2 linked regions of the Bombyx mori genome follow. The protein of the gene in region 1 binds, or shares a complex with, the protein of each later gene. Links are inferred from orthologs where the notes say so. Each region holds a gene or a part of one and is shown in the gene's direction. Other genes may lie near its edges.

Evidence for each region.
Region 2: COP9 signalosome complex subunit 7b (region 1) and COP9 signalosome complex subunit 3 share a complex: the UniProt entries of both Drosophila melanogaster proteins name them as parts of the CSN complex. The link is inferred for Bombyx mori from reciprocal best matches to the Drosophila melanogaster genes CSN7 and CSN3.

The regions. Positions count from the first base shown.
Region 1 is NC_085114.1:3,662,242-3,678,472, reverse strand, and holds COP9 signalosome complex subunit 7b, read left to right. Parts: upstream 1-8,718; 5' UTR 8,719-9,110; coding exon 9,111-9,305; intron 9,306-9,441; coding exon 9,442-9,694; intron 9,695-11,364; coding exon 11,365-11,585; intron 11,586-12,770; coding exon 12,771-12,923; 3' UTR 12,924-12,999; downstream 13,000-16,231. Other genes in the region: zinc finger protein 615, read right to left, coding at 179-299, 1,229-1,315, 1,597-1,803, 2,307-2,484, 3,172-3,359, 3,991-4,134, 4,562-4,719, 5,294-5,450 and 3 more. UniProt on the Drosophila melanogaster protein: Component of the COP9 signalosome complex (CSN), a complex involved in various cellular and developmental processes.
Region 2 is NC_085119.1:8,368,980-8,385,347, reverse strand, and holds COP9 signalosome complex subunit 3, read left to right. Parts: upstream 1-8,458; 5' UTR 8,459-8,723; coding exon 8,724-8,778; intron 8,779-8,946; coding exon 8,947-9,101; intron 9,102-10,177; coding exon 10,178-10,274; intron 10,275-11,432; coding exon 11,433-11,650; intron 11,651-12,798; coding exon 12,799-12,996; intron 12,997-13,349; coding exon 13,350-13,502; intron 13,503-13,648; coding exon 13,649-13,780; intron 13,781-14,861; coding exon 14,862-15,044; intron 15,045-15,379; coding exon 15,380-15,460; 3' UTR 15,461-15,514; downstream 15,515-16,368. Other genes in the region: uncharacterized protein LOC101742302, read right to left, coding at 3,207-3,438, 4,473-4,646; uroporphyrinogen decarboxylase, read right to left, coding at 15,558-15,701, 16,021-16,188, 16,275-16,368. UniProt on the Drosophila melanogaster protein: Component of the COP9 signalosome complex (CSN), a complex involved in various cellular and developmental processes.

The DNA.
Region 1 (16,231 bases):
ATCTAGGTAATAAAAAAAATAAAAAAATAAAAAAACATCCGTAAAAGCCACTATAGATTTTTATATTAGTATAGATTTGCACAAGTCTTGCGGGCAAAGGTTCAGCAATGTCCCTGACGTCACAGATGCGTGTGAGCGTCGGTGAGCAGTACGGATACTATGCGGGTGGGCTACTGACTGTGCGTGTTCTGCTGCGCGGCGGCGACGATGCCGGGCTGCAGCGAGGCGGTGAGCGCGCACAGGTCCGTCACGCACACGCGGTCCCCGGCGTGCAGACGCACGTGCAGCGACAGCGCCTCCTGGAACAGCCGCAACGATCACGTCTCGCTCTCCTCACTCTGCTCTACTCTTAGATTATAATCACTACATAGTATAAAACAAACTCGCTTTCTCTGTCCCTATGTAAGCTTAAATCTTTAAAACTACGCTACTTTCACTGGTGGTAGAACCTCTTGTGAGTCCGCACGGGTAGGTACCACCGCCCTGCCTATTTTCTGCCGTGAAGCAGTAATGCGTTTCGGTTTGAAGGGTGGGGTAGCCGTTGTAACTATACTGAGACCTTAGAATCAAGGTGGGTGGCGCATTTACATTGTAGATGTCTATGGGCTCCAGTAACCACTTAACACCGGGTGGGCTGTGAGCCCGTCCAACAATCTAAGCAATAAAAAAAAAAAAAAAACGCAACGGATTTTGATGCGTTTTTTTTTTTTTATAGATAGAGTGATTGAAGAGGAAGTTCTATATGTATAATAACATCCATTAAATAGTGGAGAAATAAATAATTAAATTCAAGTAAATTCACAAGTGAAAGATCCAACTTTCTGTAGTGACAAAATACCGTCAGATTTGAATCGGTAATAACTATGAGACTAATAACACGTAGATAATGGTTGAGCATTTAACAGGTAACATTTCTGTACATGTTTCTCATACTGTCAGTTAAAAACACTAATTACTAGAAATTCGAAAATTCTAGCTTCAAGCTGCTGAATGTGAAATGTTCTGGTTCCGAATTAGCTTGTATAATTTATAATTAAGGTGGCATGGAAACGCCTTTATCCGTTACTTATAAATCCACAATAAGTTTATTAAGAGATTCATATGCTAATCTATAAATAAATTAAATTTTTCGTGTCATCTGAATACACACAATAAAATCTAAGAATCTGCCTGTAAAATATTTATGTAAATATTGAAAAGTTAAACCACATTCAAAGTTTGATTTTACCTTTGTGTTGAAGCAGGACCCGCATTCAGGACAGCCGTATCCGGGAGACGCTTTCTCCGCGACGAGGTGCCCATCGGTGCCGATCACCTATAAAATGAAACATTAATATACAAACAGAAAATACGACAGTTGCAACACATATTATAGTCTTTTCTCATTCATTTGGCCAATTTAGTGGTTGAACCGAATCGTATTTAGGTCTTAACAGTTGTGTTGATTAAACATTGGATATTTGGTACTATTTAAATCATTTCACAAATTATAAGAATGATAATATTAAGACACTTTATTTATTCTACTGTGGTGAAAAATTCAGTTCAACATTATTACGTGGATTCATATTTTAGTATTATCAATGATTCGCTTACTTGAACAATCTGTGGTTTGAAATCATCTTGCTCTATAACTATAGTCTGTGGCTGCTGCTGTTGCACTTGTCTTTGTTGCTGTTGTTGTTGCTGCTGCTGCTGTTGTTGTTGTTGCTGTTGCTGCTGTTGTTGCTGCTGCTGTTGTTGTTGTTGTTGTTGTTGCTGCTGCTGCTGTTGCTGCTGCTGCTGTTGTTGCTGCTGCTGCTGCTATTGGGAAGTAAACCAAATGTTGTGTCACTACTGTCAAATAATACCATTTCTAGTTGTAGTGTAGTCTGATCTATTTTTTTAAACATATAGCTATTAGTGTCATTTTATATCTTAATTAATTAAATATCTCAAACTACATATCTTCATTTTAGATGATTTCTTTGATAGTAACAAAATTATATAATAATTTTTATTCTTTATCACTACCGCAAAGTATTTCATCCTGATTTTCTGTATGCGATTATTTTCCCTACACGCTCTTGAATTTAATTATTAATTTCTTCAGCCCCAGAAATCCTTCATTATAAGCAGTATAAATACACTAATTCTATCAAGACCTCTCACTCCAATGCCCAATAAATGGCAATTTTTTTTATCAATCAAACACAACAGGTAACTCTATGTTTGCATGAACGAATAGTCCATTTGGACTTCATACATTGATTGATTGGTTGGTTGATTCATTGAACAAATCATATAAAGTAAAAAATATGGTGTACCTGTACAATTTGTGGTTTAAAATCGTCTTGTTTGATGACCGTCGTTTGTTGTTGTTGCGATGGCGTTGACGTGGATAAACAATGCCTCGACATCTTACAGTGCTGATACAGATCGGTTTTACTCTTGAACGCCTCGCCGCATTCTATGCACGCGACTACTCCTTCTCCAGTGTGTATTCTATAAGAGTGAAGTGAGTTATTTTCTTACCAAAAATTCCCCTAGCATGAATCTTCAATACTGGTTATAATGTGTAAAAGGTCTTTTACCACAACACTGTCGCACACAACGGCCGTCTGGTGTAGTGGTAAGTGACACGGTCACTACACAAGGGGGTCGCGGGTTCGAATCCCGCCAAGGGAAGATATTTGTATGATAAATATAAATGTCTTTTCCAGGGTTATGGATGTATATTAAATATATGTATATGTATAATAAAAATCTTACATTTATTTCCGTTATCTGGTACCTGTAACACAAGTTCTTTACGAACTTATCACGGGACCAGTTAACGTGGCGTGATTGTTAGTAAATATTTATTTATTTATATTTATTTACTGTCATGTATTCTGGTTCGAAAAGTGGGATAGCAAAAATACAATTGATAATTTTTTTTTAGAGATTAGATTGGAGATGGATTTGGTAAGGATGGGAAGTGTTCACGGCCGCATTGTCAAGTGGTTACTGGGGCCCATAGCCATGAGGTCGTCTCAATAGTGTTGTAGCGCTGCTGCTCCAGCTTTTTCTAATGAAATACGTACTTGGCAAATGTTCACTTCCACGATAAAGGAATAACATCGTGTAGTAAAAACCCTTCACTCTGGAATGCATGACTGAGAAACAAGTCCACAGTAGAAGATAACTAACTTCAAGTGCGCGACAAGCGTCCGTTTCTGCAGGAACTCCTTCCCGCAGACGGGGCAGGCGTGCGGCACGCGGCCGTGCACGCGCCCGTGGTTCACCAGCTGGAACTTGCGGGCGAACGCGGCCCCGCAGTCGCCGCACACGAACGGCGACAGCGACCCGTGGAACCGGCTGTGCATCACTAGGTGCTCCTGGAAGGAAACAACACCACGTCTATATATTGCTGTTTTTTTTTCCTACCTAAGCTGATAGTCTTGAGAGGCTATATCAGCGTCACCTTAACTAGTAGGCGAGCTCACGGGGCTCAAACCTGATGACGTTGCTAACACGAACCCTAGCAAGTGCGCGTGATTCGCAGAATCTACCACCGGATCGGAAACGCGACCCACTGAGAAGATCCGGCGAGAAACTCAGTAGGCTGTGTCTGTGGGTTAATTCGCGACGAGGAATAATGTCAGAAAGCAATCTCTGAGCTCTATAGAAAACTCATAATGCACCAACAATAATATTCAATCAGTCACCAAAACAAAAAAGTAACTATGAGTTAGTGAAGCTGATCCTTTGTTTACTTCATTTGTGGAATCTGCTATGACTTTATAAAAATCACTAAATCAATACTAGTTTTTCATATCTATTCAAACACATATTACAAAGGGTGAGGTTTTATGTGTCTTGTCTCTCAGTTGATCTATAGTTAGATTTCTGAAATATTTTTATAGTTTCAAGCAAACGCAGTCAAAGGCATATTTCACCATCTGGATGAAAAAATGATAACCGTTATATTTTTTTGGTAGTGGATATGTATGGTAAATATGTACTTACCTTGTGAGCAAAGCTCTCTCCACATTCAGTACAAACATAGGGTCGTTCTCCGGCATGATACTTGCTATGCGTCACCAGATGCCGTTTCAAAGGAAATCCTCGCCCACATTCACCACATACAAATGGACGATCTCGACTGTGTACCTTTTAAGGGATACAATTAATGAAATATCCATATACCCAATTTACATGAATACTTTTTATTGAGCAAATTTCCTTTTAAAGGATATTGACGCTTGAAAGGCAAACATGACTAAGCGACAATAACTGCTTTGTACATTAATGATAGGCAATAACCATATTCGATGCGCAAAAAAAATATATTTCTAGGTCTATCAAAATAATTTCAATCCTACAGCTACTAGCTAGATTCTACTACGGCTAGATTCGTTAAAATAAATTTTGTTTTCAGGTATTTCAACTTTAAATTAGTCTACTGTAAAGTTCAAGCATTGTCACTTAGTCACGTTTGCCTTTCAAGCGTCGATATAATTAATGAAATATCCATATACCCAATTTACATGTCTACTTTTTATTGAACAATTTTAGCAATTTTTTAAACTGTACTCACCCTAGAATGTGTTACAAGATGATGTTTAAGTGTAAAGGCCATTTTGCACTCATGACATCTGTAAGGTCGGTCAGCTGAATGCAGCAACAAATGTGTGTTCAAACAATGCTTTCTTGCAAATGCTTTGCCACAATGAGCGCACACATGAGGTCTTTCACCTAGGTAACAATTAAATTCGTTCTTAATTTTCTGCTCTTTAAGAATTATTAATTAGAAATAAAAATGTCAATGATCACTAATCTTTGTTATACATATTAAGAAATGTTCACCATTGTATGTATTCATGGCAATATAATACTTCTTTATATTATTCTTCACATTATGATACTTCTTCATTTAATTAGTGAATAAGGGTTAGCAAAAATTCATAAATCTTAAGACAATCATTAAGTTTTATGGGTATTGTATAATTTTAACCTTGTTACAAGTCATTTTGATAAAGGAACACCGTAAATTATAATTATTTTTATACCCAAATTATTAAAAATATTCATTACTATCTATGTGACCACTTTAGTTATAAGAAACATTTTAGATTTGTGTTAACAGTTGTAGTCTAGTGCCGTTTTTTGTTAATAGTCCAGTGCCTAAAACTACAAAATAATGCAATTTTGTAAAGATAGATAGAACCTTATCCATTTTAGATCTAACAAAATACTTCTACTGTATACTTTTTAACAAATCATAAAATGACATTGCTCTTCTTACAAATTTTACAACATATTTACTGACCGGTGTGAACCCTTGCATGTGTTGTGAGATGGTGTTTCAACAAGAATGATTTTCCACATTCGTCACATGAATATGGCCTCTCTTTAACAGCAGGAGGTGGTGCTGTTGTCGTCATTATTGTATTTGCATTGATCATCTCTGTCTGTGAGTATACAGCCTGAAAAGAAACATTATTACTTGATAACTTAAATTCAATAATGATCGAAATATCTGAAGATATTTATTAGTACTCATTTCACTGAGTTTCGCATCGGATCTACTCAGTGAGCTACGATTCCTGAGCAAAGCACTGAACTTACTAGGTCTAGTGTTAGCAAATTCTCTCAGTTCTCTCAGTTGAGCCTGTGAGCTCACCTACCCTTCCGCACATAGTTGTAGCACCTTAGTCTACCAACGGTTAGATAGGGATAACAATAAAATAAGAAGACATTCATATGGTGACTACAATTATATATCGTGAACATCAAAGCTTCCTAAGAAATAATTACAGGGAAGTCTGATCTTTGATCAACGAGATAAACAATAAATAACTAATCACTGGGAACAAATCACACACTGTCATCCAGCCCCAAATTACGATTGCCTGTATTATGGGTACCTGAGGCTGACATATATACTTCTATATGCTTAAATATATTTTCATATATAAATAATAGCTAGAGCCGCTAATTACTGCACAACTGAGTCAGTCAGATAAACGGATACTTGACTTTTTTTTTCCTACTTAAGCTGGTAGCCTTGAGAGGCTATTCCAGCGTAACCCTAACTAGTGGATGAGCTCACGGGGCTCAAACCTGGTGACGTTGCTAACACGAACCCTAGCAAGAGCCGTGCTTCGCAGAATCTACCACCGGATCGGAATCGCGACCCACTGAGAAGATCCGGCGAGAAACTCAGTGGGCTGTGTCTGAGAGTTAATGTACTCGTCGAGCCCTTCGTCGCGAGCGACGGGTTCGACGAGAACGGTGACCGGTGCTTGAAGTACCTAGAAGCACCGTTAGTAGATCGGAAGGATCCGAGATGACGTGTTTTGGGCGACGTCGACTGCTTTCCATTCTGTCCGCAGGATCGGGAATACTTGACTGGTTACTGTTGCTATCTATAGAAATAAAAATTCTTACTTTAGGTGAACTATTAGTAGTTCCAGGTTCCTGCTTCGTATGTAACAGATGATGTTGTTGTACTGTTGTTGTTTGTATTGTTTCTGCTTGACCCTGTTGATTGTTCGCTTCGGTTAAACTCTTCAAGCCACCATTAAGTATTGTATGGTTTAACTGTGATGCATCAATGACAGGAGTCGCTATTCCTTGAGCTTGCAGTGCCCTTTTCATTAGAATTTCATTGCACTCTTCTGCCGTCAGTTGTAGTGGTCCAAGGGGAGTCATAAACGACTTTGATGTTAAATTTGTTGCTGCAATTTATAATTTATTTTATTGATTTGGTTCACATAAGTTTATTGTTATTAAATATTAACATGAAACCTAACAATATTGGTCAAATTAACCTTTTTTTTATATTTTACATGTTATAAAATTGTTATGAAACTATAAGAAAATTGACAGAACATGCTTTTAATATTTTCTTCACTTTTTAGTTTTAGTTTATTTTTCTCTTTTCTAAGAAAAAAACTAATATCTGCATTAATAAAATCAGTATTTTGTTATTAGGAGTCAATTTAACTGAGTGCAGTATGAATAGATAAATAAGAACTGTCAGTAGATTTTGTATTAAATACTTACAGAGAACTTTATTTATCTAATTTAAGCTTAAAATTAAAATTTAATTTGAATTTAAGCAATTAATGCTAAATAAGCAAAAAGCTGACTAGTAAGCGATTGTAAGCCTTAAAACAGTTAATAATACCCACTATGTATTGTCGCTGTTTGGTTTTGTTGTGAAACCCTGTTTATAGTATGGGTTGGAGCTTCATTCAGAACAAACATAGCTCTCCTGGCCGTCACCGGAGCTCCTGCTGTGACAACCCTTGTGACTTGAGCCCCCGAGTTGGATACTGCCACAGCAACAGCACCCACTTTATCTTGGACTTGCGGTGTCTTGTGAGACATAACAGTGAGTGTTGTCTCTGGAGACACCTGAAATGTTTTATTTATTGTTGATTATTTGTTTTTATTTATAAAATGATTTTAAGTCTTTACTGAAATGAAACCTATTTTGAAACAAAATAGCACATATAAGTACACAATTTCATAATAGCTTTTTTTTGTTGCTAAATATTAAAATAACTAGAAAATTTACTTCAAGTGAAAGCTGATTGTTGTTAATTTCATTCAATCTTGCTTATGGTTAAAACTTTGAGAGGATGCACTTTGAAATTAAAGTGCACAATAAATGTTTACTCTAAAGTGCTTCAGTTATTTAATTTATTTTATTTAGACCTTACCGTACTCCCAAGCGAATAACTGAGGCTGCTCGGAGTTTCGACATCGCCCTTGGTAAGGTCCGCGGAACTCGTAAAGCCCCAAGAATAACCGAAACCCGAAACATTGTTCGGTGTTGGCATACACATTTTCACCACAATATAAACTTCACTACATAGAAATGTAAACGCACTAACACAGATTCACTATTTGATAGTAAACAGTCCTCATGACAGTTTTATCATTGCGAACATGTATGTACGACCTCACAACCACACACGCAAAACGCACTCATTGACAGCGACGCCGAATATCAAGCGAAAACAACACTAATTTACAACTTGTGATGGTGTTCTGTGTAAATAACGATGAATCTTAACTTTAGACGACATCTAAATTAGTTTAATCAACCCAATATAAAAGGCGGCCCAGAACAACGACGCTTCAACGAACATTGACACGCACATTATTTACAATAAATAGTACGTTATTAGAAGTCATATATGCATTTATAAGCTTCATAATTACATATAAAATAAAAAACACTTTCGTATGTCAAAAAAAATTGGAGAAAATCCAGATTTTTATGAAAACAATTAATTTATCGCACACACAAAAAACCTGACGCCATTTTATTATTTATGGTCATTTGAAAACTGAAGCATAAACTTTTAAATTTCTAGTTTTTTTTTTGTCAAAGACAAACTTTATAAAATTCTTGAAATTAGTTTATTTTTTAAGCCCTATAACTAATCAATCAAAGCTGTAGTTTCACTAAAAGATTTTTGGTATTATGAATAAATGTACTTCTCTGCATACTGTTCTACTTTTGAATTAATTTCTATTTAAATTGGCTGAATTTTTCATCCTAAACGCTTTAGAACTAACAAAAATTACGTGATTTAATTACACCACATTCTTTACATGAAATGTCAATATTCTTGGGGTATTTTTTAATTTATCTTAGTTACTTGATACATAGGTAATAAATTTATGCACTCATAGTCTGACTTCTTTGCAATATTACTAATTAAGACAAGCTCTTCAAGAACTCAAGTACCTGACTTTTCATAGATTTAAGTATAATCTGCCACCATCATGTTCTTTATGGAAATTGAATACATATTTTATGATAGATTTCAAATTTGAAGTAAACTAAACCTACAAATAAATACATCCGTTCGTTATGTATAATAATAATAATATTAAAGTATCAACAGCTAGCAATATAAATGTAGAAACAGCCTGTCATCAACTGTCACTGTCAACTTAAAATTACCAAAGAAAGTATAAAATACCTACCTACCTAGGTAGGTACATAAATATAACAGTTTAAACCTTAAATCTGAGTTTGATACTTTTTCCCTAACATATAGATTCAATATAGAATTGACCTATTTCCCGTTTATGAAATAGACATAGACGTCTTAAAATTCAAAATGAATCCGATGTCAATGGACCGAGATGAACCTTCCTCATTGTTATCATTTTCCTCCAATCACCCTCTAGAACAGTTTGTCCTTTTAGCAAAGGGAGCTAAAGGTTCTGCGTGCGCTGAACTCATCAAACAGGTTCTGGAGGCTCCAGGAGTGCATGTTTTCGGCGAGCTATTAGAGATGCCAAATATTAAAGAGGTTAGAAAACTTACCTTTATATCGATCAATTAATTCTAATACATTTTTAACCATTAAATGTATGAAACTGTCCGAATTCTATGGGTAGAAATCAATTTGGCGCTCTTGTTAAAATTCATTTTATTGTATTTTTCAGCTGGAGAGTGGACCTTATGCAACTCATTTAAAAACTCTTAATTTGTTTGCCTATGGCACATATAAGGACTACATTGAGAACAAATCGGACTATTTAGAATTAACCACAGTCCAGTGCAAGAAATTACAGCATCTGACCATTGCAACACTTGCAACACAAGAGAAATGTATCCCTTACAGTGTGTTACTTGAGGAATTGGATATTAAAAATGTTAGAGATTTAGAAGATCTTATCATTGAAGCTATTTATGCAGGTGAGTTGATTTTCCTACTATAGTGTATATACAAACAGTCCCTAATAAAAAAAGTGTCAGAGTTGTTGATTCATAAAACAGTATTAAAATTCAAGTTTGACTACATGCATTTTATACCTTGTTTTTTTCTTTTTCGAGTTATTCTTGTGGTGTATATGAGAAAACAATTCAGTGCCGAATTTGATGTAGTATCTAATTTATTTAGTTCATGTTTTATATAGATTAAAGCCACATATATAAAATGTGCATTGATAAAGAATACATATACACTAAATAAGCATAACTTCTAAAGTGTCCATATAAAAAAAAATCATTAAATCTTAAATGAATTTAGCTACCAATACAAATAGGAAACTGATGCTACAATGACATGAGCCATGAGCCCTACTATTATGTCTTCAGATAATTTAATGCATCTTAGTGGAATAAAGTTGGTATGAAGTCGTCGTGGCCTAAAGGATAAGACGTCCGGTTAATTCATGTTGAAGCGATGCAAAGGTGTTCGAATCTCGCAGGCGGGACCAATTTTTCTAATGAAATATGTACTCAACAAATGTTCACGATTGATTTCCACGGTAAAAGAATAACATAGTGTAATAAAAATCAAACCCGGCAAAATTATAATTTGCGTAATTACTGGTGGTAGGACCACTTGTGAGTGCGCGCGGATATCTACCACCGCCCTGCCTATTTCTGCCGTGAAGCAGTAATGCGTTTCGGTTTGAAGGGTGGGGTAGCCGTTTTAACTATACTGAAACTTTAGAACTTGTATCTCAAGGTGGGTGGCGTCTACGTTGTAGATGTCTATGGGCTCCAGTAACCACTTAACACCAGGTGGGCTGTGAGCTCGTCCACCCATCTAAGCAATAAAAAAATTACTTAATTAAAAAAAAAGTTTTATCATAAAAAATTCAATTACAATTTGAGGTTTTACAATATAACTATTGGTTTACCTTATAATTACAAGTACTTATGCTTAGTAAGTCAATGTTATGTTCCCTGTTTGAGTTTGTATGCCCTGAAAACAGTTTAACATCCTTTTATTTATCCATATAAGCATATATTTATTTTGATTTTTCTTTTACTATTTTATTTTGTTTTTACCTTCGTAGAAGGGGAGATCAATCTATTCCATGTGGTAGTAAGTAGTTGTAGGGAAACAAATAAATCTGAATGTGAATATAGCAAGCAAACATCAATAAACAATTACTTTCTAAAAATAGCATTTTTGCACTTCTCATTATGACCATGGCAACTAATTAACAATGCATTCCTTTTAATTATTACTTGTATAAAATTAAGTTCAATAAAAACCTCATTAGACAGATAGTGTGTATTCTTTATTTTACATCAATATAAACATAAATACAAAACATACATCACACAAAAGTAGAATGGGCAGTCTTATTGTCAAGAGGATTCTATTCCAGATAACCATGAAGTGGACAAGAATCACATGAGGAAATAAATTAACCGCAGTGTACTTATTAGTTAAAAGATATTTTTTTAAATATGCACAATATAACAATATATAGATATACAGTATAAACTCATTAGGAGTAGAATACCTTGACGATTTGAATATACATACATGATGTTGAACTATTTTACTGTTACAATAGACCACTCGCACGATAATTGGAAATAATTTACATACTATACTTCCATAGACATAATTCACGGCAAGTTGGACCAGGAATGTAAACGTGTGGAAGTGGACGTGGCCCTTGGCAGAGATGCGCGGCTTGAAGATGCAGCTTCCATTGCTGATGTCCTGGCCGACTGGTGCAATGCTTGTGAAGCAGTACTCAATTCTGTAGATCAACACATACAGAGAGCTAATCATCAGAAACAGAAGGCTATCAGACATCAGCAGGGTATAGAACAGAAGGTGAGTGTTATATTATCTAAGGTGCATGTATATTATATAACAATTCCTAAAACAAAAACATCATCATCAAATACAATGTTTGACCTTCTAAAAATCATATAGTTCTTATAAAAATCTTCGATCAACAATACTATTATTGATCAAGCTCAAAATAAAAAAAAATACATAACTTTATGACCCATTCGGAATGTAGGTTCACCACAAAGTATCAATCAGCAAGAAATTCAGAGCTTGCACTTTTAAAGATAAATGTATATTTACAGTTCTGGATGGAAATAGTCTTCAAAATTCTCTTAACTATTATTTTTTATCCTCCATATATATACAATTAGATTCAGATCCATAAGTAGACATGTGACATAGACAACTGCAGTGACACAGTTTAAAGGAGCATGCATTCGATTCACTATGCTTAGTGCGAGTTTTTTTACTTCTCGATCTTGTAAAAGTTAACCGTGTAGGAGTTAGAACAGTGTCCCTTCGTTTGCCGCTAGGTTCGCTGTTCCAACTTCATACTTATTTGAGTTAACTTTTACGCAATCGAGAAGTAAAAAAACTCGCACTACGTGCACAGAACACTGTCTATAGAAAGCAGTTTAGTGTCGCTTCTGTAATTGCTCGAAATCCTTTTTACCTTTCGAATATTTATCAATTCATAGTTCTGTTCAGCTTATTTGTAGAACTAGATGGTAATGGTCACTTTTACAAATATCTTAAATTTCATGTTTTACTGTAATTGTAAGTTTTAATATATTTCGCCATTGATGACAAACCAGAGTCCCAGGGATAGTACATAAGAAAACGTTTTGAAGTCCCGTAAAAAAACAGTCATGCATTACCAAACAGTAGATTATTATGAGAATTTGATTGAATACCTCAATTTGGACTCATGTATTATTACCTATGTTATAATATCAGTATGCTTAGTGCGATTTTTAACGTTCTCGATAGCGTAAAAGTTAGCCCAATTTTGTATGCAGTTGGAACAGCGCCCCTAGCGGAAAACGTAGGCAAACTTTCTCATTCCATACAAATATGAGCTAACTTTTACGCTATCGAGAACGTTTAAAAAACTCACACTAAGCACACAGTTGGATTCGGATTTAAACTTAGCATTACAAGGACCTTGATCACTGAAATAGTAAGACGAAAACTTCAAGTAACTCAAGTTAATTATTATTTCAGATTTTATACATAAAGAAGACGTTGAAGACTCAAGCAGAGAATGATGAGTCAGCGTCAGGTGCCAATGCCGAGCCTCACTCAGCACCCAAAAAGAATTCGAGCAAAAGCAAGACTGCACGTAACTCTGCCAAATTCTGGCAGAAGAGCACATAATTGAAAAACAGATTGAATTGTATTTTTAACCTTGTGATAATTTTTGAAATAATAAATATGTTGTAAGTGTATCGTATCGCATGTTTTTTTTTTCATTTGACAATTTTCCGTTCGGGAAAACGAAAAATTCAAGTAGGTATTGAAGTTGAAAACCACGGAAATTTTTAAATATGAAAAATGAACGGTGGATGGAGCAAGCTTCGGGAACTTGATGATTAGTATTTATTGGAAATGCCTACATATCGATACTAGGTTAAAGTTTCGCTAAAGTAATGTGTGGGTGAATTGTTCCTTTAAAAGATCTACAAAAAAGTCCGCGACAGCATATGTCTATATATTAAGGTTGGCTCACTATAACGTTTTTTATGTTAAACACATTTGTTATAAAATAAAGCATTATTTGTGAACTATTCCACGCAGACGAAGTCGCGGGCAAAAGCTAGTTACTTATATGAGGAGTTCTAGTGAAATAAAAACGAATTGAAACTTGTCTTTGATTTTCCTCCACTTCAAAAAAATTATTCCAGACTTTGGTGTCGTTATTTATTAGTATGTTATGTAGTACGTTGGTATACTGTAAGCGTTATTCTTTACTACCAATCTACCTAATCAGAATAGAGAGGAACATTGGCATTCTCTACGCAGGTACTCTATCGAATAATACATCTTGTGTGTGCTCAAGGGTTCATTCGAGACGATATTTCATCCGATTACTTTCCATCAAAAGGGCTACTAAACATTACCTAAGAATTCGTCCACTCATTCCCATTGCGTTTCAACAGATCGCACGTCCCATTAAAAATCGATCCAATTTTCTTCAGATTTAGATAGATTGTATATAAATCGTATGTGATGTAACTTCGATAGTCTGCTTAAAAATTTAGTCACGTCAGACGCTGTCCACTCACCCGGTTTCAAACCGTGATTACGGTTAAAATAATATTATACGATTTCTAAGTAACATTGCATCTGCGTGGAAACAAAACAGGAATTACATTTTATGTATAGTAAATATAAATTAGAGCAGCAAAATCTATGGATGACTGATCGTAGGGAATGAGTATTGTCGCCACGCACGGACGTGCCAGCCCATTTTTCAGCTTCGATGCTTAAACCGTTGCAGAGTCGAACTACAAATTATGCGAGAGTTAGGTCCCATGTAAATTAAGATAGCAGCCGTTCAAGAGAAGCGAAGTGCAAAATGTTAGAGGGATTTTCCCTTCGTTCGATATTAATTTCGTTCTATACAATGTAGACCCATCTGTACCATAATAGGATCTATTCTGTGTTCAAGATATAAACATGCCGCAAATCTGTGCTTTAGATAAATGTCAACCGAATATCTTTCACTTTCATGACTGAAGTTGAAAACCTTGAACGCCTATGTTTCCAGGGTAGCCAATTTAACACATTTGCTTCGATCTTAGATTTTCTTAGCTCATCATTACCAAGCAATTAAAAATTGCAAATTTTTAGACTTCTCCATTAAAATATTTGGACCACTGAAACACTACGGCTCATCGTATACTTTTTGTGGTGATTTATTGAATATCAATTAACTTCGTGTTACTGACTATTTAGGTATTCGTTTTACTGGTTTAATGACTGCCCTTAATAGATCTGACTTCTAAATAATTCAATGCTATATCCCCCTGATGTATGTTTTTTAAGATATAGCCTTACAAATTTTAATATGAGAAATATCTTATGCTACACTTATTCGAGTAGATGCTTTTAGAGCAATAATAACAGTAATAATTTGTAACCGCCTGTTAATTAAAAATAGCGAAGCGCTAAGAAACAAAAATGCTATTTAAAATTAGTTACCACTGTGAATAATTATCAAATTGATTTTTAAAAAAATGTTACTTTAAAGCTAATTTTTAAACTATTTTCGAAGTGAATTCAAAGCTATGAAGGTAAAGAGTTACAGTTAAATTTATTTTTAGTAGATAAATTAACTTTGCAACCCAGTTTACCAAACGTCAAACAACAGAGTGGGACGAAGCTTCGTTTTGTTTCAGCCGCGAACGAGAGAGCGAAAGTCTCGAATGGTTCGGACAGCGAGTCTGTTTTGTTGACGCAGAGGCGCAGCGTTTAAGTGCGCAGGCAGTGCAACGATTATCGTGTTAGCAGGCCACAAAAAAGTGATGTAAATAACACATTAAACATGATACTAATGTAAACAAAGTATGTATTACGTGAACACGTTTCTGGGACGCTATGATAGTGTGTTAAAGAACTAAAAATTTGTGCAAGAGCTATACACAACTCCATAGCAACGATTCTGTGAAAAACTACGACACAAGTGGCCGTCGTCGTCGCGTTTTCCACAATGATTCCGTAACAATTAATATAACTGAATAGACTTTATTATTTAATTCCGTAGGAGGCAATTGTTCAAAGAAGCGTCTGGACTCGAAGACCTTCGTGTATTGGATGTACAGAAAGGCAAGTATGTAGAATTGATCGTAATCACCTTTCACATACCGATCTATATTCACGGTCAAACTTGTTTACTCAATACCTACTTGTTTTATCGATGCACTGTCCACTCATTAAAAACCTACCTACTTATTAATTCCGTTAAGTAAATGCAGTCCTAATCATATTAAAATCCAATGGATATTATTGTTTCACAATCAGATAATAATTGTTATGAATTTTAGATACTATAATTATTGTTATGATGATGTTTATGTGGAGTTCTTTGTTATGGGGCTCAGCTGTTCGGAGGGCGGGGCGAGGTGCGGGGTGCGGGGAGAGACCGGTCGCGCAGGGTACCGCGCGAGTGCTCTTGCATTATTCCAGCTCACGTTCATGATATGAAAATATAACAACAGACTCGGTTTTATTGCCCCAATCGGTTAAAGTAGCAGTACTAAAGTGAGCACGGATCACAGTAGATCATAATATATCACAGGATAAATGACCGATATTACAAGAACTACGATCAGATAAAACACTTGTTTATTAAGGAATCTATTGTCGTAGATCAATAATCAAGATGATTATCAATGCACCAGTTTATTGAATTTTAAAAGATATCTCAATATAGAGTTAATTGTATAGTATAGATGGGTAGACGACCTTTACCTGATATTCAATTGTTACCGGGGCCCAACGTGAATACTATCCGCCGAATACCTGGAAAGTAGAGTTGGTAGTCTCAATTTTATTGTTCAATGCCTGTTCTACTATCAAAATTGGAACTGCTTCGCAACAGAAAAGACGAGTCGGTTGTAGCTGCCCGTGCTGACTTATATATTTTTTGCGATAGACGGGTTCTGTTAGCTCAAAGGCCTTTA
Region 2 (16,368 bases), on another chromosome or scaffold:
TACATTAATACTTAATTCAGAAAAGCAAAGAATACATAATTTATTTTAAATTGATTCAATTACTTTCATAATTTTAGTGATGAATTAGTCTAGTTTTGCTTGTATATAACAAGTAGCTTTTGCCCGCAACTTCGTCCGCGTTGAATAGTTACTTTGGCAGAACGCATAATTTTACCCACCTCTTCATTTACGTAGAAAGTGAAAATGTTTTTGAATAATAAAATGTTAAGGAGCTATTTCCTTAAATAGTAATTAGGTTAAAAACCGTGATTTTGGTACCTTTACCAAAATCACGCCTTTTAGCCAACTCCAAAAGAAGAAAGTTATCAACTCGACCATAATTTTTTATCTATGTTCACCGATTTCTCAAGAATGCTAGAACCGATTTTGATAATTCTTTTTTATTTTTATCGAAAGGGTAGACTTCCCGAATGGTCCTGTTTACATCAAGATCTGATGATGGGATCTTAGAGAAATCCAGAAAAATCTATAGGTAATTGCAAAGCCTATCTTGAAGTGATTTGGGTGTTTCAATGTTGTAATGAATAACGTATACAATACGACCGATGTATCTTGGCGAGTCCGAACTTCGCGCAGAAGGCTGCGCACAAACGTTTTTAGGAACCAAATGGTGGCATGACCGACGTGCGCGGGGCGGAGGTCTAGGCTAGGATTTACTCTGTGTAAACACAATCGTCCCTTTATTCAATCAAATATCGCAATCGATTTTTATCGATTTAGAATTTATTGATATTTGTTTTTATGAGATACTGAACGAAATAGATTTACAAACTTATTGAATGTTGTCGTTAGTAGACGAGACTTCATCTTTAATAATAAAAAAAAACTAATAACACTTTATTTTCTTGGTTGAAAGACACGATTTAGTTGAATATCAGTTATTTATAAACAACTACTACAATAGGAACTGTTTGTTAATATTTTAAACCTTCTATAAAATGGAATATAAATATATTTTTTTATTTAAATTTTAATCAATTTGAAAAAAAAAATCGATTAAACAACATCCTCAAACCCGCATATTGGACATCCCTTTTCTTGACATCGTATAAATTCGGTAATGCTCGGTACGCGGTAATGTGTCTCACTCACACGCTAGTATTAGTGTCGTGTTCGTGTCGCTATCTCTGTCTTGAGTACGGGCGGCTACAAAAGTTTTCATTGATTTGTTATTATTATACTGTTTTTGTTTAGTGCTCAGTTTAGTTTTAAGATTGTTTGTGTTTAAATTTGTTTTAGTACTAACTGTCCTTTGGCATTTATACAATTCGTTAACAAAGATGCCACCAAAGCATAATAGTGTTTTAAATCGTCGGTCGACAAACATCATTTTTGATTATTTTTTTTAAAAACAAAAAGAAGAAAGCGTAATAGATGTTGACAGTTTTATTTAGAGTTGATAACGCAACTGGTGTATCGCAACGAACAGTACAGCAAATCGCAACTGAAGGCAGTGTTCAGGCTTACTTTCGAATTAATTTAATTACGTTATTTTTACAGCTTTCTGTCTTAATTTATTATTCTTTTATTATCTCTCTTTAATTTATTACGTTATTTTTATAGCTTTCTGTCTCATAGTGTTTTGATATTCATTTTATTTGTACTTGGTCCCTGTATATGGAAATTTTAATTCGAATTTCATTTAAAAAAAATTATGCTAATTACACTTTTTTTACGAGTGTACATGCGCGAAAGTTCACCTGTGGCTATATTCAGACTCGCCAAGTTACGTCGGTCGTATTGTACTTAGCCTGACCATAAATACTGTTACAATTTAAAAAAAAATATTCTATTGCAAATAACATTTATTACTTTTACAGTGTGTTAGTTTAATACATAAATATAAAACAATTTAAAGTATAAAAAGCTTATTCGAAGTGGTCTCCATTGGCTGCTATACAGTCCTTTAAACGTTGAGGCCAGTTATCAATAGAAGCACGCTTTTTCCAAGGGAAAAATTTTCACTGTCAATTGTACGGATTGTTTTAGGGACGTAAAAGTATGGCTCAGTCACTCCTTCATAGCTAATACCCCACCAAACCATCACTGAAGTCGGATAGTGCCCACGTTGCACTCTGTCGACTAATTGGGAAGCTTCCTTAGAGCTTTGAGCATAAATACGGTCATTTTGTTTGTTAAAATGTTGCTCAATTGTAAACATTTTTTCATCCGTAAACAAAATTTTTCTATGACCTCCCTTTGCGTACCGCTTCAGTAGTTGTTTCGATTTTACCACCCAATTCTGTTTTAAATTATCAGTTAAGAAATGAGCAGTACGTCTCTTAAAGGCTGCAAGTCTTAAGTCATCTTTTAAAATACTCGACATAGTTCTAGGTGCTATCTTTATCTCCCGAGATAAAATATTTTGCTTTCGGACAGGATTTCTTCGAATTCTTTCCCTTACTGCTTTGACCACCTTTTTCGTACAAACACTATGTGGACGGCCAGATCTTTTTCTGTCACAAACAGAGGAGGTCTCATTGCACTTATTAATAGCCTGGTACACAAACATTTTACTAATACCAAGTGTATGGAGAGTTTTAAAAATTGTATTTGGCTCCATACCTACTTTGTGTAATGCAATCACAGCGATTCGGTTCTCTTTATCACCCCACTCCATTTTAATATCTCAAAATATTGTACAATGTATTGGCGCCAAAATGAGAAAACTCAATGAGCAATCATATAAAAATGACATTCTAAATTCAAATGTAATATTTTGTTTATTTTTAATTGTAACAGTATTTATGGCCAGACTAAGTATATTTGAATATCATCTTTATAAAAAACACCTTCACAAGTAATGCTTTATTTTAGAACAAATTTGTTTAACATAAAAAACATTTTAGTGAGCCAACCTTAATATATAGACATAGGCTATCAACGGACTTTTTTTTAGATTTTTTAAAGGGGAACAATTCTCTCATACATTACTTTAGCGAAACTTTAACCGTCTCCACAGCGCACGCAGTGGAATCTCGCAAAACGGAAAAAACCCCAATTTTGCAACATTCTTTATTGGTGCTCCATTTGTATTGATCTTAGTGTGATGTTATATAGCCTATAGCCTTCCTCAATAAATGGGCTAAAAACTGTTTCAAATCGGATCAGTAGTTGCTGAGATTAGCGCGTTCAAACAAATAAACTCGTCAGCTTTATAATATTAGTATAGATTAACATTTTACCTGCAACTACTGCTCTACCCTCATATTTCTTCCAATCTTTCTTCAGTTGATAGTAAAGTATGGCAGATCCCATAATAACTACTATTGAAATTATAATAGCTGCTAGTTTTACAGCATCAATAGGGGTAAATGCACTAGAGACTAGTATTTCCACTTCACTGACTGCATATTGTAAACCATCAAGACTCTTTGATATGCACATATAGGTTCCAGAATCTGCTTGAGTAACTTTCTGAAATGTTGAGACATATATTTTTTAAATTGTAATTTATAAAAGTGTTAGCAAGTTACCAAGACTCAATTAAGTTCAGTAAAAAAATATAAAAAAATAAATTATAAAATAAATTGATGTCATAAGTTATCATCAGTAAAGCCATTGATATTGAAGAGAATGATAATAAATAAAGTTCATTTAACTATGTTTCTAATTGTTCTTGTAGTCATATCTTGAAATATATCTAATGAATACATGCAAACCAGTGTAAATTTTCGTGTTTTAAGCTGGGAAGTGGCACTTAAATTAATCCTTCATTTCCAGTGTCACACACCACTGCACTGGTGGTAGTAATGGAGAATTTTAGAGCTGGCCAAAGGGTGGTGGCACAAACCAACTTAGACATGTTAATACGAAAACATCTCTTATCCAGTAGCATATTCAAAATTTGAAATTTTTTTGGCATGAGACGATAACTAACAAATAGCTGTGGAGGATCACCAACCAGGCACCAATGGAGATGGAGATCCTTACGCGGAAGTGGCATTGGAATGGTCACATATTAGAAAAGCCATATTAGATCTATCCAAGAGAGCACTGACCTGGAAAGTGTCCGGTAAAAGGAAGAGAGGCCGTCCCAGAGTAGCATACTCAGTAACCACATTTTGACCCACTGCTAAAAACGTCTACAATCCCTACTATGTGTTAAGCCCAGCCACTGGGCCCATAGAGGTTTGAAATATTATGCAATAAGACTACAACCTATCAATTATTGCCATAAAATAAATAAAATATAAATAATCTTAAAACCTAGTCTTGACAACACATTCATTGGTTTCAATGCAGACTGGCCATAAGCAAAGAGCTTCCTATCCTAAGAAACGACTACAACAAAAAGTTTGAGGGTAACTAGTTCTAAAGTAAATCATTACACACAGACCTTATATACAATAAACACTTATTATTATAATTAATTAGCATTGCAGACAGTTCTATTTTGAGAATTTAATCTTTTACTAATTCACTAATTTTTCTTATTTTCTAATACTTACATTAATATTAAGTTTCCCTGATAAAACTTCATATTTATACTTTTTATCATTGTAATCAATTCCTGAACTTATGATTGTAGTTTTGTTAAAGAGCCAGAATAAGAAAATATGATTTAAGTCATTACTAGCACAGTTCAATGCAGCATTATTACCTTCAGCTATTGTCATCTTCATTGTTTCTAGTTTTATTTATTTTCTAGACGAATGAGTCTTCTTCCAACATACGTAATAGAGTTTTTCAACACTTGAGTAAGATTATTATATCACCAAAACTTCTGATGCTGCCACAAAACATTTGAGAAGAGCAAACATCGGTATTACTGAATGCGTGCCAAGTTTATAATTATCTTTACACAGTCATGAAGTCACATGTCCTTCCCCTCAATGCACAGTATTTATTGCTTCCTATTAAGTATGCTTCGAATCATTTTAATACCTACTACTTCCACTGGAGTGTTTGATCAAATGCATGAACACTTCAATACAGAGAACTGGCAGTAGCATCCATATAGGAGTCATTACCACATAAATAGGTAAATAAACTCTATTATATTCCAATTTTATACAAATTATTATTTGTGCAGCCATTTTTAGTCCAATTGCAGCTATGTACCACACATTTTTATTGATGGTTCCTCTAAATCTTTCAATGCCATTTCTGCAGTGTGATACCATATGAAAAAGTACGTAGATCAATAAAATACTATCGTACACCCACATTGGAATAAAAACGATGAACCAATTCCAATGTGTTCTAGACTCTAATCTCAGACATAGCAAAATAAGAAAAATCAAAAATATAAACCAAGTAAAAAGGGCCCTATGTAGAATAGCCATTGTTGAATAATTAGATTTTCCAAACCCAATCAATAACACAAGATTTCTAACTCGTCTACCTGTTTGTACTCTATTAATAAATCTTGAAATTTGTCACAGATTTGTAAAGTTGTTACTACGTGAAATTTGTTGGCATGAGGCATCTATCCATCATTAAAGCGAGTTTATAGATAATAAAAACAGTTAATACATTTTACACATTATAAAGCGAGTCACAATGTACCGTTTAGATCATAGATTATACACTTAATATATTTGTTGTTTAGATGTAATGAGAAATTATTTTCCTTCGGGAAAACTCGATCTTTATCGGAAATAATCGGAATTAGACATGCGTAGTTCCGGACCTAAATAGTTCCTGGAACTATGTCCTCATATGGAACTATATCATTCAATCCGAGTTGTCAAAATTAACATGTTCAGACAGTTCCATTTCCATTCCAAGTGTACTGTTATGCAGGAACTACGAACGCGTTGAACATGACGGACATGCGGACATGATTAGAGCATAGGTACCGCGCGGCGCGGAGGCGTGGCGCGGCGAGTCCACCCGAACGAGTCTCGAACCGACACGAGTCCACGTAAAGAGATAAGGCGACATATGGCACGAATACGAGAGAGTGAGATGGAGCGAGTGCATGAAACTGCGTGTGGAGCTCTTTCATATTACATTTTTATTAATATTGAAGTTATGCTCTACGACCTACGTGTTACAGTCGATAGTTGAATAAATTAAAATGTTTTGCTATGGATTTTGACCTTGACCATGCATCATTCCTACGAGCACTTAACCTTAAGTGTTTGTGGACCATTTCTTAGAAAATCATAATTCAAAATTCGAGAATTTTAAAACATTCACCACTTTCGCTATTCGGTATCTCGGTTATGGGAAAAAGGTTGTAAGGCTACAACGAGCTTAATTTACGTTGTATATCAGAATAACGTGGTATTTTAATTAACAACTGATAGGTTATAGTTTCCGGTGCATCGTACAATACCTACATTGAAAAATAATGAAAGTAGTAGAGTAGTTGAAATTATGACAAAGTAATTACAGTACATTAATAAATTATGCAACCAGCTGTAACAATGAACCTAAAACTAAAAACCTTACAAAATAATAATTACAATAATAATTGCCATAAGCGGCAATCTATTTTTATATAGTGCTTTTAAAAAATTGTATTTTTAATACCTTTTTTGAAAAATATTGTGTAATTAATAATAACTTAATACGTGATTCGCTACACTACAAACAGCTACTAGACTTAACATGTCCGCGGAACTAAACAGCTTCAAACAGCTACTAGACTTAATATGTCCGCGGAACTAAACAGCTACAAACTACAAACAGCTACTAAACTTAACATGTTCGTGAAACTAAACAGTTCCGCGAACATGTTTACTGGAACTAGTTCCGACACTCAAAAGAACGATGTCATGTTCAATCCAGTTCCGGACATGATTAGCGCACGTCTAATCGGAATACGATGACAACCGAACTGTTTTTTTTAAAGGGATTTTATGACCTGGTAACTGAGACCTTTAAGTCACGTCTTATTTTAATTTATATTAATATTTTTATGAAAAATGATATTATGGAGTGAAATGAAATGAAGATGATTAATTTGAGACATTAATCAACTGGGATGAAATATAATCTCAGTAAAATGGTGGTCATTTACTAAGATTTTTTCAGTGGAGTTTTTGGAGGATCCCGAGAAGTTATGTCCACGAAGAAACACTAAATAGACAAAATAAAACAAATCAATCACTCCTCGCGTTCCCGCCAAAAAGTCTCAACCGAACTGTCAATGAATGATAGCATAGATTATACACTTAATATATAATGACAGTATTACATCATAATACACGAGTGACACTTTCATTTCCATTATTGAGTTTCATACACTGAAGTAGGAAACCTAGTTTCATACTTCAGTGTTTATTGAGGAACTTTGTGGGAACTTTATTGTTTAGTGTCAAATTTCAAAATGAATAATGTCATTGTATAAAATAGAATTAGTACATTCTTATTTCATTAGATTTTTTTACTGAACCGACAAAGAAAAAATTACCCATAAAACCAAATCTAAAAAAGGCAAAAACATGTCAGTTTAATAAAATGTGAAATGGAATTAAATAATGCAACAGATTTATTTTTATTGCCCTTGCAGGTAGACAAGCATATGGCCTGCCTGATGGTAAGTGGCTACCGTTGCTCCTGGACATCAGCAATGCCGGGGCACAGCCAAGCCGCTGCCTACCGTTGCGTACTTTTCTTAAGTCTCCTTTAAAGATAGATCATCTGTAAAGGAGATTTATATATATATATATGTATATATATTTTATATATTATATATGGCGTTCGGGAAACACCGTAGAGGGAAGTTCATTCAAAAGCCGGATGGTACATGGCAGAACTCTTCTCCGATAACGGGTGATGTGATTATAAAATTAATATTATGGGATCATCTGAAACAATACATCAGAGCACACCCTATGGGACATACGATACAAAACCCAGAGACAATCGAAGTCTCTCTGTAGACAGAGAGCTCCAAGCGATACATGCGAACGGGAATATGGACAATCCGAACGTCTCTCTTCTGTATGAAGTCCAATGGAAATTATCTGATAGTATTTGAGAGCCCCGGCCCAGAGGTGAGAGCAGTACTCCACGCAAGGCCGGAATTGCTTTGTAAGGCCGAATTTGTTTTATATAGCAAAAATCTGTATCCAGGTGTGAAGTACCAAACACAAGTTTCGATAGTTTTTCCTGCATCATAATGAATGATGGCAAGAAAATAATTTCTTAGTAAAATAGCACCATTCTTGTAATAAAATTAACTCTTCTCATGACTGTTTTCTTTGAATTGATTTTGATTCAATTTTATTTGAGCCGGAATATATTTTTATTACATAATTTTTAGAAAATTAAGTGATTTATGTATCTAGCCAAAAGAGCGAGCGCATCTTTTACGGGATAGTTTCTTATTTCTTCATGTAGTTTTTAAACTAACATTTATTACGGGTGTGATACAGACTAAATTACTGAAAATAACAATAAAAAAGAAAGAGATTAACACATACCTATTTTATCATATCGCACAAATACATAATGTTTTGTCTTATCTCAGCTCAAATTTAATTCATTTCGTTCCGTTTTACTTTTTATACAACACTTATAGCTGTAGTCTTTATTTTTTACAAGATTATGGTCTAGTACCTCTTTGCCTAATATATTGATGTATTTAAATAAACAACTACCGCTGTCAATTTCTCATGTCAAAAAAATATCAATAATTCATGTTATTTTCGTCTGGGTTATTTTAAATGTAGAAAAAAGAAACAATTTATTTAAACATTTATTAATTCAAGCACATATATAATTTATCTGATACTACTATCACAATGGCTTCTCCTTTAGAACAATTTGTCAACAATGTGAGGACAATGTCGGCATCAGGTACCGTGCTATTATAATTCATGGAATAAAAAAAGTAGGCACCTGACACAATCGCAATCATAATAATAATATTATAATAAACCTGATTCTTTTTTAGGAAACAAATTTATTGGAATGTATTAGAACGTCATTAAATCAAACTTCATGGTACAATGTCTTATCTTTCAGGTAATTTTCGCGATTTATATGAGATTATTGCAAAATCAGATGAAGTGTTGCAGAGGAATAGCTTCCACCTCAATACAGTACTTGAAACTCTTGATATCCAACAGCATTCATTGGGTGTTTTAGCAGTCCTGGTGGCCAAATTTTCCTTGCCTCCGGTAAGTGTTTTAATTATGCATTCTAACTTTACATAAATTATTACAATGGCCTTAAAGTGTAATTGAAATCTAAATGTATGTTAAGTCTAACTTAAACTGTATCAAAATCTATATATTAATACATGAAGCAAGAACTTTGTATCCCTTTTTAAGAAAATTGCGCGGACGGAGGAGTATGAAATTTTCCACACTTATAGAGAATATACAGAAGAAGTGCATGATGTTAATATATTTTTTGAATAATGCATAAAAGATACATTAAATCAATAAAGAAAACATTACACACACTACATACCTTGTATTTGACGCACACACGCATGCATACTATTTATTGTCAAACTTTTGTTCTTGACGTCTGTTGTCAAATTGAAATTAAATATTGTTTGTCTTTGTTAATATTTTTTATAGTGTAGTCTTGGTGAAATTTGTGATTATAGAAGTATAAAATACAATCATAATAGTGTAAAAACTTACAATTCCAATTAATCATAGTTGAATTTCGACTACTGCGGGACCTCTAGTATCACTAAATATTCACAGCAATAATTATAACATATATTATATATATTTTATATCTATCAAGGCATTTTATGCCTAAACTCAAATTAAATAAATAATGGTTTAAAAATACTAACAAAATACGCTTTTGTAGAAAATCCAACTAAAAAATAGAAAATAAATTTGATTTAAAAATGGTGTAAGAAAAAATTATTTTATTGTAAAAAAGCATGGGGTGCATGGTGCATGCATGGTAAGGGGGTCAAAATCATGTTCAAAGATTCTGTTACATACTAACATACATACAACTGAAGCTAATAAAATCGTATTAAAAAGCTGCAAAGTCACCCAACATGAATTTTGAAAAAAATCTGTAGTAGTATATTTATTGATACTGACAAACTTAATGAGGTCCAATATTAATTTGAAAAAAATATCTCGTAATAATATAATGTTAACTTAGGTTTTCTCTTTGTTTTGAACTGTATAATGTTCTACAGCATGAAATAAACTGTTCATCACATATTAACTACTTTTATTTCTGTTTTCTGAATCAATATAACTTATGTACCTTACAGGGCAATCCAGAAGTTGATAGGTCAACTATGTATCAACAGTTTCATGATTTTATCAATAACTGCAATGGTGAACAAGTTCGATTTGCAACTGATTTATGTAAGTCTGCTTTTCATTTTGTCAATCTTTTTTAGTCAGAATGCTGAACCTCTATATATTTTACCTTCTTTGATATCTCTGAAAACTAGAGTTGACCCTGCTCATAGCCTAGTAGTATAATAGTAGCCTAGTAGTATAATCATGAGTGTTTCATAGTTCAGTGTGTGATTGTAAATACTGAATTTTTATCAATCAATTTATGTATAATACTTTATCAGTAGCATCTTTTGTGTATAAGCTGTGTGGCTGTGTGGTCTAATATTTCAAGTTAAAAACTGAGAAAAAAGTTTAACACAAACTCAATAAAATAAAATAAATACTTGTTAATAAAATAACCCTCATTTATTACAATATTTAATTATAGACAATCATAAGAAATATTTTCTATCTCTGAGTGCAAGGTCAGTAATACTCACGAATAACCTGTTATTATGCTAGTCACTAGCAGCTAGTGTAATTAATTCAATTTAAATATTAAAATTAATTTTTTCATTGGTCTATTTCTTAAAAAATAGTATCTTATCGCTTTCTCATCTTAACTTAGCAAAACAATTTAAATATGTATAAAAATAAATTAAGTATTTTAGATTTACGCTTATGTAATGGTTTTACAAATATTTATTGATTTAGATCTGCTTCTGATCTGTTATGTTTTGAGGGACGGGTCAGATGAACAATCCCATCACTGACCTATAAAGATTTTTTATGCTCATGAATCATCATTGATCTAGCATAACAGTCAAATCTTTCACTTGCTTCTCATTATCAGTATTATGTTTTATTTTTATGAAAAGGAGTACAATTTTCTTCACTAATACACTATTCTTCTTCCTCGTCCTTTCCTATTAGTTAATTATTAATCACTCTATTTATAAAATGCTTGAAACACAAAAAAAATTACTGTTAGAATGGCATATTGTTAACCACTAGTCCAGTCCAGTCAAGTCCACTTAGTCCTCCAGACATGCAGTCTAGACTAGTGAAATAGCCTCTATATAATTCATAAAAAAAAACTTCAACCTTGTCTTAAAGTCATTTGTGTAATTTGTATTTTGAGTTTATGGGCTGCAGTAATCATTTAATACATGTAGGGCTTTGAGATCCCTGTCTAGAGCAATACAAAAACGATTGTATTGTATTTAATTTCTAAAATTACAGATGCAGATTTGTGTCATCTACTCACAAATCATTTGGTAGAAATCAAACAACCAATAAGGGGCCTGGAAATATTAAAAAAGGCTATAAGAAAGATACAATTGTTTGATTCACAGCTGACCTCAATTCATGCTGATCTTTGCCAGCTCTGTTTGCTCTCAAAATGTATGAAGCCAGCTCTTGAGTTTTTGGACACTGACGTCACTGGGATTGGCAATGAGGTAAAGTGTAGCCTTTTAATCCTCTTTATTTGTCTTCATTCTTTAAAAATGATTATGATAGTGTTACCTCTGAAGGATTGGCGACACGAGAACCCTCTCATCGTGGCCGCCGGTAACTACATTCCAGATCCTGCGGACAGAATGGAAAGCAGTCGACGTCGCCCCCAACACGTCATTTCGGATCCCGATCCACTAACGGTGCTTCTAGGTACCTCAAGCACCGGTCATCGGTCTCGTCGAACCGGTCGCTTGCGACGAAGGGCTTGACGAGTAAATTAACCCTCAGACACAGCCCACTGAGTTTCTCGCCGGATCTTCTCAGTGAGTCGCGTTTCCGATCCGGTGGTCGATTCTGCGAAGCACGGCTCTTGCTAGGGTTCGTGTTAGCAACATCGTCAGGTTTGAGCCCCGTGAGGTCACCTACTAGTTAAGGTTACGCTGAAATAGCCTCTCAAGGCTCTCAGCTAGCTAGAAAAAAAAAAGGGTTGGTAGTAGAGTAAACGTATTACAGTTTTTTTTTATTGTTTAGATGGGTGGACGAGCTCACAGCCCACCTGGTGTTAAGTGGTTACTGGAGCCCATAGACATCTACAACGTAAATGCGCCACACACCTTGAGATATAAGTTCTAAGGTCTCAGTATAGTTACGACGGCTGCCCCACCCTTCAAACCAAAACGCGTTACTGCTTCACGGCAGAAATAGATGGGGCGGTGGTACCTACCCGTGCGGACTTAAGAGGTCCTACCACCAGTAAATATTACAGATTTACGAAGTACGAAAAGAGAGAACACTTAATTAGCGTATATTTTTTATTATAATTAAATGTTAGTGTTTCGGTAGCGATGGTTGATCATCAGGCTATGACTATTATATATTTATTAATAATATAATAAATTAATAGTATAATTACTATTAACTTATTATATTATATATTTTATTAAATTAATTTAATAAAATATATAATATAATAAGTTAATAGTAATTATACTATTAAATTAATTTAATAAAATATATAATATAATAAGTTAATAGTAATTATACTATTAATTTATTATATTATTAATATTATTAGTTATAATAATATAATTATATTATTGAACTAAACTATATTTCATAACTCTAGCTAACAAAACTTCATTTGTTCTAGCTTGGCGGTATTAATGATTCCAAACATTTTCTACTATATTATTACTATGGGGGCATGATTTATACAGCAATGAAAAACTATGATAGAGCTTTGTATTTCTTTGAAGTTGTAGTGACTGTTCCGGCAATGGTTGTATCCCACATCATGTTGGAAGCATACAAGAAATATATTTTAGTGTCTCTTATACTTCATGGAAAGGTACGTTACTCCTTCCAATGATACCTTCAACCTCAATTTTAAACCCATACAGTGAGCAGGACTTTTACTAAAGCCATAACTTAATATATTTTTTAATAAGCATGTAATCAAGCTATGCTAAAAATACATGTCGTACCATTGGAAGATCAAAACCGAAGAATCCAATTTTATGTTATGTTGTTTTCCTGGCTATACAAAAATTTTGTATAAAATAATAATTCCATGACATGATAGAATTGTTTGGTTTTCATTTCTATTTCAAAAATCTATTTAATAAATTTTTTATTCCTATAATGTACTTTTAGTTTTGTTCTTATTAGACATAATGATTTAAGTAATAACTCTTTTTAAAGGTTTTGCCAATGCCGAAATACACATCTCAAGTGGTTTGTCGGTTTTTGAAACCGTTGTCAGCGCCATATCATGATTTAGTGGCATCCCAACATGCTGCAAGCAAACACCGCGAGATATTTGTCAGAGACAAGAATATGGGACTAGTTAATCAGGTCTGTTTTGAAATAATAGCTTTAGATTAAATAGAAAAATTTATTTATTCGATTGATAATGACTTACTAACTCAAATGCAGTGTAATTAAGGTAGTGTTATATTTTGGAAAATATGAATAGTCTTTTATAACTAATTTTTTTTAAGGTTTTAAATTCAATGTATAAGAAGAATATTCAGAGATTGACAAAAACATTTTTAACGCTTTCGTTGAGCGATGTCGCTTCTCGCGTGGAATTATCTGGGCCTCTTCAAGCGGAAACATACATACTTAATATGGTAAGATCAATAACATTAGGTATCTTGAAAAATTTTTGTAGAACTATGTTCTGTAAGACGTGCAGTTAGTTTTATTAATAAGGGAAGCTTGACAGTATACAAACGTTCTATGATAAAATAAATAATTAACATAATAATATTATATTGGCGTTTTGTACGGGAGGAATAAAGAGTCAATTTATTTTTGTAAAATATATTTAATTGATCAAAGTATGCACCGTTGTTATCTATGCACTTTTGCTATATCATAGGTAGTGCATTAATTCCTTTACTAAAAAAACCATGGGGGTGAAAATCAATAAACTCTTTGAAGGCGGTTTGGATTGCCGGATCGAAGTTGAATTTTTTTCCTTGTAAGAAGCTGTCTAAATCCCGGGAAAAAAATGGTAATATGTCGGAGCAAAGTCCGGGGAATACGGTGGATGTCAGTGGCGTAGGCGATTAACTAATCTCAGTTGTTTAGCAGCTATTTCTTCCTTTATGGTTTGCAGTTGCTGACAATAGATATCTGCCGTAATCGTTTGGCCAGATTTTAGAAAACTGTAGTTCAAGTTTTTTACTTTCCCGATTTGCTTCAAGTGGATTTATACAGTTTTATCACTTACCCCGAAGCCTGCAGCTATCTCTGAATTGCTTTGTGATGAATCCGCTTCCACAATAGCCTTTAATTCTTCAATTTCCACTGTGGTCTCCGGTCGTCCACGCGATTGTTTCTGAAGGTCGAAATTTCTAGAACGAAAACGTCGAAACCAAAACCGTACCGTGCTTTCTTTTGCCACACCAGCGCCGTACGCTTCATTAATCCTTCGAGCTGTTTCTGCAGCACTGGTAGAACTCGTACTCGTAAATATGCATGCAACATTTCATGTTTTCCATTGTGCGGTAGGTAATAAGCGACGCTAAAGAAATAAATATATAAAGAAAATAAAAATAAATTACTGTTTTCAAAACTCAAACGTATAGTAGGTACTGGGCAAGAAACAATTCACATCGACCTCTAGAAAGAGACATTCGACTAATTTCAGCTTTACAGTACAAGAGTTACACGGCACAAAACTTCACATTTAATGTTTTTCGACAGATTGAAGAAGGCGAAATATATGCAATGATTAACCAAAAAGATGGTATGGTGGTGTTTCTAGATAGTCCAGAAAAATATGCATCACCGGAAACATTGTGTGTCTTAGAACAGCAAATGGCTGCTTGTACTAAACTTCACCAGTACATACAGGAAATGGATGTTCAGATACAAGTCAATCCACAGGTAACAACCGCTCTGGTAATCATTAACTGAGTATCGAACTTTATAAACGAACTGTTTTCATATTTTCTTATTTTTACTTCCTAACTTTTCATTATTTTTGGTCACCATCTGTAATTATCAGTCCTTTCGAAAAGAATAATCCAAGTTAATTAAAATTTAAATTCTTTTTTTTCGTAATCCTATGTATTTTCTTACAAAAGTTGGACCTGAACTGCTGCATAGTTGCTTTGCTTGATACAAATAGAATGCATGTCTCCTATTTTAAGCTAGGGAGATTTCTCAAAGTTTCGTTTTTGTTTTTTCTACTATGTAATTAATTTATTAAATAATTACAGTATGTGAAGAAATCAGTTGGAAGTCACGATGAAGATATGCCCGGCACAAGTCAAAATACGAAGACAACATACACAATGTAATATAAGTTATTTGTTGTATGCTAAGAATAAAAGTTTTCTGTATTAACAAGCAAATTCTTTAATTCCCAACCATATAACATGCATAAAAATATTCTTCTTATATAGCTTCATGTACTGTTTCAGTAAAAACAGTCATACTCTCAAGTGGGGTTTGTGGTGTAATCCCATGACCCAAATTAGCTATGTATCTATGTTTTCCAAACTTTTTCACCATTTCAGTTGTAAGTGTTTTTATTTCTTCCTGCAAAGAAATAATTCTTAAAAACATGTCTAATTTCATCTTAATTTCTTGTTAATTCGATTTTACTAATGTAAATAAAGTAAAATACATGAAAAGTGTAATTTCTTAAATTTAGTTATTGCGTTAAAAAGTATTTTGTTTTTCAAAGTTAAGTTTAAGACAAGCTAAAATGAATAAGTACGGCACATTAACTCAGGTTTAACAAAAAAAATTTTTAAATCTGGGTTTTATAAAAAAAGCTTGTCATCATTATTCATGACACTGAAATGAATGAAATGAAAGTTTACGTCACCAGAAGAATTTATAATACATTACGTACAGGAGTTTTGTATAAATCCTGAGGATCAAGATTTCCTTGCAAAGTAATGTTTTCACCTACAATTTTCCTGGCTTCAGTAGGATCCACTGTCCAATCTAGTCCAATGGTTTCATAACCTAATTGAGCTTGAATATCTAAGGAATGTCCAGCTCCTTTTGCAAATATGGTCTGAAAATAATATAATAAGTATTCTTAATTGTGTGATTATCTCTAGAGCATGTTATTTACAAGTTATTTTACTATAAATAACTTACCATAGGAACCTGTTCTAAAGATTTTTCTGTAAGTTTAGCTCTAACTCCACTTCTAATGTCTTTCAAATATGGAATAGAAAACTCAGTAAATTGT